Linked DNA regions of Saccharomyces cerevisiae S288C. The gene in region 1 interacts genetically with each later gene. Each region holds a gene or a part of one and is shown on either strand. Other genes may lie near its edges.

What was found.
Region 2: of STE20 (region 1) and CDC42, extra expression of one rescues a mutant of the other (dosage rescue), as found in Saccharomyces cerevisiae (7 studies listed by BioGRID, with this or other methods).

Annotation. Positions count from the first base shown.
Region 1 is NC_001140.6:94,618-100,405, forward strand, and holds STE20 (mitogen-activated protein kinase kinase kinase kinase STE20), read right to left. Parts: upstream 3,321-5,788; coding exon 501-3,320; downstream 1-500. Other genes in the region: SHU1 (Shu1p), read right to left, coding at 3,726-4,178; YHL005C (uncharacterized protein), read right to left, coding at 4,211-4,603; mitochondrial 37S ribosomal protein uS2m MRP4, read left to right, coding at 4,602-5,786. UniProt on the Saccharomyces cerevisiae protein: MAP4K component of the MAPK pathway required for the mating pheromone response, haploid invasive growth and diploid pseudohyphal development. Links the pheromone response G-protein beta gamma subunits to downstream signaling components.
Region 2 is NC_001144.5:603,712-608,907, reverse strand, and holds CDC42 (Rho family GTPase CDC42), read left to right. Parts: upstream 1-4,120; coding exon 4,121-4,696; downstream 4,697-5,196. Other genes in the region: EST1 (Est1p), read left to right, coding at 1-1,483; BNA5 (kynureninase), read left to right, coding at 1,789-3,150. UniProt on the Saccharomyces cerevisiae protein: Involved in development of cell polarity during the cell division cycle, and essential for bud emergence. Affects signaling in the pheromone-response pathway through the STE20 protein kinase.

The DNA.
Region 1 (5,788 bases):
CGAGAGAGGATGTTATATCGGTAGGAATTTCTCGTATATGTGGGAAATAAGAAACAAGCGTAATTCTCTCAGCTGAACAAGAACTGACTCCCATGGTATTTTTTTTTTTCTACTTCTTTTCTTTTCCCTGAATTTGCGGGATAATATAGTTCGTGCACTAAGGACAATATTACGGATATTTCCAAAATTGGATAATACCTCTCCTTCGTTACATAGAACGCAGACAGATGTTCGTGTAATGGTACCCGACACTCGATGAGACTTTGTTATTTTTATACGCCTGAAATTAGGAAGAATTTGAGTTGGTTTCAATATTCCTCAGTTTTAAGCAAAACTGTTGTCGTGATTTATTTAAATTTCGTTAATGAAGTTGTGAATTAGAGTGGGATGTGTTATAAAATGTCCAAATATACACGATAAGATATATGAAAAGAATTTTTATGCCAGTCACAACTGTGTATATACTTTGTCGATAATAAGGTGTACCCTGCTTGCTACGTTTACTTTTGTTTATCATCTTCAGTTACGTCCAAATTTACGGTTTCTTTGCTATCGTTATTGTCGTCACAATTGTTTGTCTTATTAATATGCTCGTTGTCGTTATCGTCGTCATTATCTTCATCAGCATCCATGTTCTCAGCTACTTTCTTCAATCTTGCTAACTTGACTAGCGGGGCCAATGAGGAATTGGCTTCAGCTATCTCCGTGATATATTCATCATGAAGCAATTCCGTAGCGCTTGCTCTATCTTCGGGCTCCACACATAAACACCAATCAAGGAATTTTTTCAAGCTTGACGATAGATTCTCGGGTTCCTTTAACTTGGGTGTACCATTTGTAGCAATTAAATACAGTGCTCTTAGCGGGGTTTCATTTAAATATGGAGGCTCCCCCTCGATCATTTCAATGATCATGATACCCAACGACCAGATATCTACTTTTGGGCCATATTCTTTCCTAGAAACCACTTCAGGCGCCATCCAATAAGGCGTTCCCACCATAGTAGTTCTTTTCAAGTTCAATTCATTGATTTGAGCGCAAAAACCGAAATCCGTTAACTTAATATCCCCTTCCATGGACAATAGGATGTTATCGGATTTGATATCTCTGTGAAGAACACCTTTAGAATGTAAAAATTCCAACCCACTCAAAGTTTCTCTACAAACGGCACCAATTTGACCTTCTGTCAAAATACAATGGGTGACCACATCAGTTAAGGAGCCACCTTCCATGTATTCCATAATGACCCAAAGGTCGCCTTTTAAAACGTAAGAATCAATGAAATTAACTATATTAGGGTGTTTGCTACCCTTCATGACCAGAATCTCATTGATGATTAGCTCCTTTTTTGGTTGCTTTTCGAGATTCATTTGCTTAATGGCCACTGAGACATTCGTACCTATTTCATAAGCAGTATAAACACCACCTGATGCACCTTGACCAATTTTTACTAAATTGGCATATTTTGTACTTGGGTCACCGTCTGAGCAAATTTCGTTCAATTTGGCATATAGTTGTTTTTTACGTCTTTCCCTTTCCTCTCTCTTTTTCTCATTTAATTCTTTAGACAAGCTTCTTGCTTGAGCTGGCTTCGAAGTAGGTGTCGTTACCGTCTCTTGCGCCGGCGCTTTTGGCGATTGAGCAACTTGCTGTGGTGTGTGAGCTGTGGAGATGATTGGAGACGTTTTGGATTTGGTTGGAGGTATTGGTGGTAGTGGCTGCTCCTCTTTTTTTAAAGTGGCATTTCTTGATATTGAGGACCTGTTTGGGCTGGTCCTGTTCGGAGTTGTAGGTGCATGAGTCTGCTTCAAGGGCGAAACATTGGCGGCAGAATTCATGACGGGTGATTTTATAATTGGAGCTGAAGCGGACGCAGAAGATGGGGGCTTAGGAGCCGGTCTACTTGGTATGAATTTCCCGTTTGCTGAACTAGAATCTGTATTTAAGGTTGGAGACATGACGTGATTGGACATTGGTGTACCTGTTCTGGAACCGTAATTGTGCGAATCACTTGTCGACGGAGGAAATTTATTGAATGAGTTTGCAGGCGGTGTTGAAACTTGAGGACTTCCCGGCAATCCTGTGGTTGTGTTGAAAGTCTTGAACATTTTATCTTCACCGTTTGTTTCCGTGACATCCTGATAGAATTTGACAATATCCATGACTGCTTGCATGTTTTGCTGTTGTTCTCTTTTGGAAATACCACTAGAAGTCAACAATTTTTCCCATTCCTCCGGCAAACCTGTGTACTCACCAGTCTTGGAGTCCACGCCCACATGGTGGATATGCTTGGCATTGTATGGCGTAGATATCCTCAAAGCGGTGGTTATAGAAGATGAGGAAGAATTATTGGACGACGATGAGGCCCTTTTATCATCCTGAGAATTTCTCTTTATATTCTGTACAAAGGACGTAAAGACATCTTTCATTCTTAGTGTACCACTATTTGAACCGCTTTTCCTTTTTTTCGAAGAGGAAGAATAATACGATTTTTCTGTTTGCTTTTTAGGTGGAGAGGAGTTTTTTAAAGGATTTTTCGAAGGAAAGCTTTTTTTCACAGAAACCGGTTTACTTTTTGCTTCAGGCTTGGACGGTTTAACTTTTGGTTTATGTTGCTTATGCTTAGGGTTCGAAAGCGAATGGGAAGCTGAATTGATCTGTCTTGGCGTGGTTGTCATCGATGGTTTAGAGATAACGGGAGTGGACACTGGTGTAGCCCTTCGTATATCAGTGGAGCTCTTATTCGAGTTTACTGTGGAAGATGCAACTGGCTGCTGGTGCTTCACTGTCGCGTTATTTTCTATAGTTTCTGTAGAATCTGTTAACGACAGTTTTGATAGTAAAGTGTCATTAAACTGGTGATCTGACTCGGACGCATTTATGGTAGAAAATGTGTTGTCAGCAGAATGATCCGGGGTTATATTGCTGGTATTTATGTTTGGAGTGACTGCTTCTAGAGATTTGGTTTCATCGATGTTAGAATGAGGACTCATGGATGAAGACATTCCACTGATGACAGAGGAGGAAGATACTCGGGTAAATTGAATAGGATCATCTAGTGAAACGACATTATTGTCATCATCATTGGTTGTCTCCGCGTTCTTCGCAGGATCCATGGATTTGTATCCACCAGCTTCATGGGCAGCATTAGTGCCTTTTTGTAAGGCATTGACGTTCAAAGTTCCAGTGGTCCTTGGTAATCGTAATCCATCGCCGCCATCGCCATTGCCGCCCATGGCCCTTTCATTGTCATTGCTGATACCGTTATCAAGACTGTCCTTGTCTGGTAGTTCCGATACAGCAGATGGATCATTGCTCATTTCTTGTATTAGTCGAGGATCTTGTGGGATATTTAGGATGGGGTGTGAGGCAGTGAAGGGAAGAAGTTTGGGTTGCTTGCTACCTCGCTCTAATTGTACGTACGGATGTATGTCTTTAAGAAAGTATGTAAGTGTGTGTAGTATGTGAGTATCTATGTAAGCATGCGTTGCTAATGCGAATTTACGGATGCCTCTTTTTGGTTTCGTATTTTTCCTCTCTGGCCAGGTGACTTTCTGAATTTTTCAGCTGCCAAAAGCGGTAGACTTTCGAATTCCCTCTCTTGGCCGTGTTTCGGGCCACGAGGCGAAAATTTTTTTTTTTTAATCGAAAAAAAAAGGAAAAAAAGATTAACGTTTCTTTTTCGTTCTATCGTCTTCTACGATATCGCATGTAACACAATGCAGCTATCTGATAATATGGTCCCAGAATCGCAATAGCCGGGCAGGCACGCTACTAGAAGGCGGTTCTGGATAGAATTCAACTTTAGATGGCAGACTGAGGCACTGCCGTAACACAAGGCTAAGTAGCCGCAGCTGTTGCGGTCCATCTTGTGTCGCGGTGAGATCCCACAATCCATAGACGAGTACATTAGAGTATTGCGGACCATTCGCCTGCGCTTGCATCCGGGTGAGGTACATGTATAAGTACTTTACCCGGCCCAAAAAAACTACGGATACCCGCTCCCGGCTTGCCACGTGACCTGCCACAGTGTTCGTAGTCACGTGCTCCTTCAGTCCTCCTAACTCTACGTACTTCCTGGCAGTGTCTCCAAGGACTATCACCAGTACGTTTGGGCTTGACTGATCCAGGCTCCAATCGCTTTCTACTAGCTGTTGCAACCGCTCTTCAAACTGCATATTGTATCCTGCTGCTGCTGTTGTTGCACCCGTTATTGCACCTGAGCATTAATATATGCGTATATGTATCTATCTATGTATATGTGTATGTGTAATATGTATACGTTTATGTTAATGCATAAACTGTAATGAAACGAATACTCACCCGCTTGCTCTCTCTCACGTATAACACACGCATACTGCCCTATTTTCCTGTTTATCTCGGTAAGAAAAGGCCGTGCCGGGTCAGAAAAGAGTGCAAGAAAAAAATCAATTCGGTAAGTGAATCCGAGAGATGAAATTTGTATGTCGTAGGTCACTGCTATATTTGATGGTAAATAATAATCAGTTCTGGCAAGTGTACATACGCTCGAGAGCCTGATTATCGCGGGGCACAAATACAGGTGATTCGAGAAATAAAAAGTGAGAAACGACTCTTTTCTCATGCAGAGACACGTTTTTGCGAGGAATTTCAGACGTCTTTCCTTATTGAGGAACCCTTCCCTTACCAAAAGGTTTCAGTCGTCAGCATCCGGTGCGGCCAACACCCCTAACAATAACGATGAGGTGATGCTGTTGCAACAGAAACTTTTGTATGATGAAATTAGATCAGAATTGAAGTCTCTATCTCAGGTACCAGAAGATGAAATATTACCTGAGTTGAAAAAGTCATTAGAGCAAGACAAACTCTCTGACAAAGAACAGCAGCTGGAGGCTGAATTGAGTGACTTTTTCAGAAATTATGCTCTGTTGAACAAGTTGTTTGACAGCAAGACATTAGATGGACAATCTTCTACAACGACAGCAGCAGCCACGCCAACCAAGCCTTACCCTAACCTTATACCTTCGGCCAATGACAAACCATATTCCTCTCAAGAACTTTTCTTGCGTCAACTAAACCATTCCATGCGTACCGCTAAATTGGGTGCCACTATTTCGAAGGTTTACTATCCTCATAAGGACATTTTCTATCCGCCCCTCCCAGAAAACATTACTGTTGAGAGCTTAATGTCTGCTGGTGTTCACTTGGGCCAGTCTACCTCACTTTGGAGGTCTTCCACACAATCCTACATATACGGTGAATATAAAGGTATTCACATAATAGATCTAAACCAAACTTTGTCCTATTTGAAGAGAGCCGCCAAGGTAGTAGAGGGCGTTTCGGAATCCGGTGGCATTATCCTATTTCTGGGTACAAGACAAGGCCAGAAAAGAGGGCTCGAGGAAGCTGCTAAGAAGACACATGGTTATTATGTGTCTACCAGATGGATCCCGGGTACTTTGACGAATTCTACAGAAATTTCAGGTATCTGGGAGAAGCAGGAAATCGACTCTAATGACAATCCCACCGAAAGAGCGTTATCACCGAATGAAACATCAAAGCAGGTTAAGCCTGACTTGCTGGTCGTATTAAATCCCACAGAAAATAGAAACGCTTTGTTAGAAGCAATTAAATCAAGGGTCCCAACTATCGCAATCATCGATACTGACTCCGAACCTTCTTTGGTGACCTACCCTATCCCAGGTAACGATGATTCATTGAGATCTGTCAATTTCTTACTAGGAGTCTTGGCGAGAGCTGGCCAAAGAGGCTTGCAAAATCGCTTGGCCAGAAATAACGAAAAATGAAC
Region 2 (5,196 bases), on another chromosome or scaffold:
ACTACTAAACAAGCCGTCTAACAAACCCAAGAGTGTGGAAGGTTTTGAGAAGTCTATTAGGTACTTGAATATTGCCTCACTCTATCTCCCAGCCGTTGGAGATACTTATTTTCAACGAGCGAAAATTTACTTGATCACTGGGAAATTCTCACTGTATTTCTTTGAATTAGTAAGAGGAGCATTGGTAAGGATTCCGTCTAAATGTGCGTTAAACAATTTGAAAGATTTCATTTTGACTCCTGATTTTCCGGAAAGAAGACGTCTGATGAAAAAATTGGCAATTCTTGTGTCAAAAGATCTCAAAGGTGAGAAATCATTCTTTGAAGGTCAAATTGTTTTGCAATTTCTATCGATAGTAGAACACACTTTGGTTCCACAGTCATGGAACGCATCACGTGCTTCTAATTGTTGGTTATTGAAAGAGCATTTACAAATGGCTGCATTAAAGTATCATTCAGGTAATATTAATGTTATACTTGAAAACTTGGCTGCCACAATGGGAAGTTTCGATCTTATGTTTACAACTCGAAAAAGTAAGGAACAAAAGAACAAACTCAAATATGCAGATTTGAGTGAGCGCCAGGTTTTTTTTTTAGACTTGAGCTTTGATTTTATTGCTAATATCATAGACGTCGTCATCAAACCCTCCTGGCAAAAAAACATGGAAGACTTTCGATATCTAGCCATTATTCGTTTGCTTATGTGCTGGATTAAGTCATATAGATCTATTTTGCAGTACACTCACAGACACAGGAAGTTTTGCACTTCATTCGCCTTGTTGCTGAACGACTTGATAAATAGTCCACTGAATTGTTCAGGAAATATATATAGCCACAGGCCGAAAAGAAGCTATCTTTTTAGAGAAGATATTATTTTCAGGGAATTTTCTTGCATTAACTTTGCACTAACAGATTTTAATGACGATTATGTGTATGATTCTCCCGACATGATTAATAATATAATTGGATGCCCTACATTGACTAAAGTGCTTTCTCCAAAAGAAGAATGTGTTCTGCGAATTAGATCAATAATATTTTCTGGCATGAAATTTTTAGAGAAAAATGACACCGGCGTCATATGGAATGCCAGCAAATATAAGTTTGATTTAATAAGCCCAAATATTAAAATAAAACGCCAAATAGCATTATCGGAAATTTCCTCCAAAATAAATGTAAAAACACAACAGGAAAGAGTAGTCTCTTCGAGAAAAGTTGAGGCCAAAAGAGATGAACAACAGCGCAAAAGAGCCGGGAAAATAGCTGTGACAGAACTGGAAAAACAATTTGCAAATGTCCGGAGAACAAAAAAATTGTCTCCGCTCCCAGAAAAAGATGGCGTTTCTTCTGAGTTGGTAAAACATGCTGCTTCACGAGGGAGAAAAACTATCACTGGCCCACTATCCTCTGATTTTCTCTCATATCCAGACGAAGCAATTGATGCTGATGAGGACATCACCGTCCAAGTGCCAGATACTCCTACTTGAGAGAACAAGTAATGGTGAGGGAAAAAATCATAATATGAAATATATTATGACGACGTCAATTAACGTCGTCCACGCCTGTCGTCGTCAACCCACGAAAATATGGGGGCGGTTTTTATAACGGTTATTAAAACGACGGGATGCCGTCTACGGCACGGACAAACCCATCGCTTTGGAAATAGGTGACTGCGCTTGAAAAACATAATTATTTATTAGCATAATAAATTCAAGACAGCAAATATATATGCTGTCAATACGTACATATTAAGCCTAAATATTCTGTGGAAAAAAGAAACAAACTGGTAATTATGGAGAAAGCTTTGGAATTAGACGGAGAATATCCGGAATCTCTGAGGGATGAATTCAACATCCCTACATTTAAATCCATGGGACTATCGTCCGACGATAAGCCTGTGACGTACTTATGCGGGAATTCTTTAGGTTTGATGCCGAAGTCAACTAGGAATTCAATTAATGCTGAGCTAGATGCGTGGAGCGATTGTGCTGTGGAATCGCATTTCAAACATCCTGAAGAAGCCAGAGGAAAGGTGCCTTGGGTCAGCATTGACTTACCTATTCTTCCACTACTAGCCCCCATCGTGGGTGCTCAAGAAAATGAAGTTGCAGTAATGAATAGTCTCACTGCAAATTTGAATTCATTGTTAATTACGTTTTATAAACCTACTGAGAAAAGATTCAAGATCCTTTTTGAAAAGGGCTCCTTTCCATCAGACTATTATGCTTTCTACAACCAGTGCAAAATTCATGGAATTTCGGAACCTGAGAATGTTTTTATTCAGATCGAGCCACGCGAGGGAGAGACTTATATCAGAACTCAAGATATCCTGGATACCATAGAGGTAAATCAAGATGAATTGGCGCTGGTCTGTTTGTCAGGTGTTCAGTATTACACGGGGCAATATTTCGATATTGGCCGAATCACCTCATTTGCCCACCAATTCCCCGACATATTGGTTGGATGGGATTTAGCACACGCTGTAGGGAACGTCCCATTGCAACTTCATGATTGGGGTGTTGACTTTGCCTGTTGGTGTTCTTACAAGTACTTGAATGCCGGGCCTGGTGGAATTGGTGGCTTATTTGTCCACTCGAAGCATACTAAACCAGACCCTGCTAAGGAAAGTTTGCCAAGATTAGCTGGTTGGTGGGGCAATGATCCTGCTAAGCGATTTCAAATGCTGGAAGTATTCGAGCCGATTCCAGGAGCATTGGGATTCAGGCAATCTAATCCAAGCGTTATTGACACAGTGGCATTGAGAAGTTCATTGGAATTATTTGCGAAGTTTAATGGTATTAATGAAGTTCGTAAAAGATCGTTGTTGCTGACGAACTATATGACGGAACTGTTGGAAGCCTCCAAGTATTACAAACACCCTTTAAGGATCGAGAAATTACCATGTTTTTTTACAATATTAACTCCAACAAGCACAGATGAAGAACATGGCGCCCAATTGTCACTTTACTTCGATTCTGACACTGGAAAAGAGGATATTATGCCCAAAGTTTTCCAATATTTGCATGACCATGGTGTCATTGGCGATGCAAGAAGACCAAACGTAATTAGATTGGCTCCTGCTCCCTTATATAATACATTTTCAGATGTATACATTGCGGTGAATGCACTAAATGAGGCGATGGATAAGTTGTAGTCCTAGAGTGACCGCATCGCCTTCATCTTCTTTTGGATATTATATATGACGTAGTTTGAAATTCGTATACTTACTGATAGCGAACCTATAAATTTATACTTTCTTTCCAAGAATTAAAATAAATATCTGGGCCCGTGTATTACTTACCAGTTGCCGTGCATAGTCGTGAATCTTCTTTCATTTATCAACCTTCTTCCAATAATGAAGCTAACTTATCAGTGGTAGTACTGTTGAACGAAACAAGCCGGAACTCAAAAGGGTAATTTCGTGAAAAACAATCATCTACGGTATAAATAACAATTTAATTTACGTCTCTTTCGAAAATGCTCGTGTAGCTCAGTGGTTAGAGCTTCGTGCTTATAGCAACATTCGGTTTCCGAAGTTTCTGTGCCAAAGACCTTTCAAACAGGCCTTTAAAAGCAACGCGACCGTCGTGGGTTCAATCCCCACCTCGAGCACTTTCTCTTTTTTTTTTAAAAAAAGTTGCATTATTTCTATCAACTGTTGTAGCTACGTTACACCTAATTTTGTATTGTAGACTGTTAGATAATCCACATATACAGGTAAATACGGCACATTGTCTTCTAAACATCGCATTAAAGATGTCTTCCACCGTCGATTCAAGGGTCATTCAATACGGGTAATACTGCTTCCATTGGGCCCTTCCAAATGAAACAAGATACGGGAAAAAGTGATAAAAAAAAGCAAACAAGGTTGATTGATCGATGATAGACGCGATTCTTGGAAAAGGCAAGAGCAGCGTTTTGATAAATAGGTTCCAGGTGTACCGAGATATACTGATTATCCTTCTCTGTCATTCTTCACTTTTTGCAATAGGTTTCCTTTGTCGCAAAAAATTATATTCGTTATTTATTATACTATTCTATTTTCCTGAGGAGATAGGTTAACAAACGAATTAGAGAAGCAAAACTTATAAAACAAGAAATAAACGTATTAGCTCTTCCACAAAATGCAAACGCTAAAGTGTGTTGTTGTCGGTGATGGTGCTGTTGGGAAAACGTGCCTTCTAATCTCCTATACAACGAATCAATTTCCAGCCGACTATGTTCCAACAGTGTTCGATAACTATGCGGTGACTGTGATGATTGGTGATGAACCATATACGTTAGGTTTGTTTGATACGGCCGGTCAAGAAGATTACGATCGATTGAGACCCTTGTCATATCCTTCTACTGATGTATTTTTGGTTTGTTTCAGTGTTATTTCCCCACCCTCTTTTGAAAACGTTAAAGAAAAATGGTTCCCTGAAGTACATCACCATTGTCCAGGTGTACCATGCCTGGTCGTCGGTACGCAGATTGATCTAAGGGATGACAAGGTAATCATCGAGAAGTTGCAAAGACAAAGATTACGTCCGATTACATCAGAACAAGGTTCCAGGTTAGCAAGAGAACTGAAAGCAGTAAAATATGTCGAGTGTTCGGCACTAACACAACGCGGTTTGAAGAATGTATTCGATGAAGCTATCGTGGCCGCCTTGGAGCCTCCTGTTATCAAGAAAAGTAAAAAATGTGCAATTTTGTAGTCATATTAGTATATGCCCATCTTTTCTTAATCTATATCTAAAATTAACTTATATATACACCTTCCTATCCTTTTATTATCGTTGTATTTCATTTTTTCGCTTTGCTCAGAGTTGATTCTCTTTGTTTCTTGCGCCAGGATCATCCGTCTGTTCAAGGCGGAGTAGTGCAAAAAAGTCGAGCCGTCAAGCCCCAAACGTTCAATACTTCCATGTTCTTCAACGCTAAACGCGACATTTGCGAGTCCTACCACGTCTTCTCCGTTTACGGGCAAAAACACCTCTTAACATCAAAAATTTGGCTTTCGTGCTTTTTTCTGAAATATATTCGTTGCATAGACACGGTATGCATATGAAACATTCAGGCTAGCAATCAATACTTAAACCCTTTACGGGCGTGCATGATGTATCAGGAAACCAGTTTGAGAATGTCGCCCACCAAGCTCCATGGAAAGGCGCAAACCAATTACGCGGAACACAAAAATGGGCCTTTTTTTGATCGC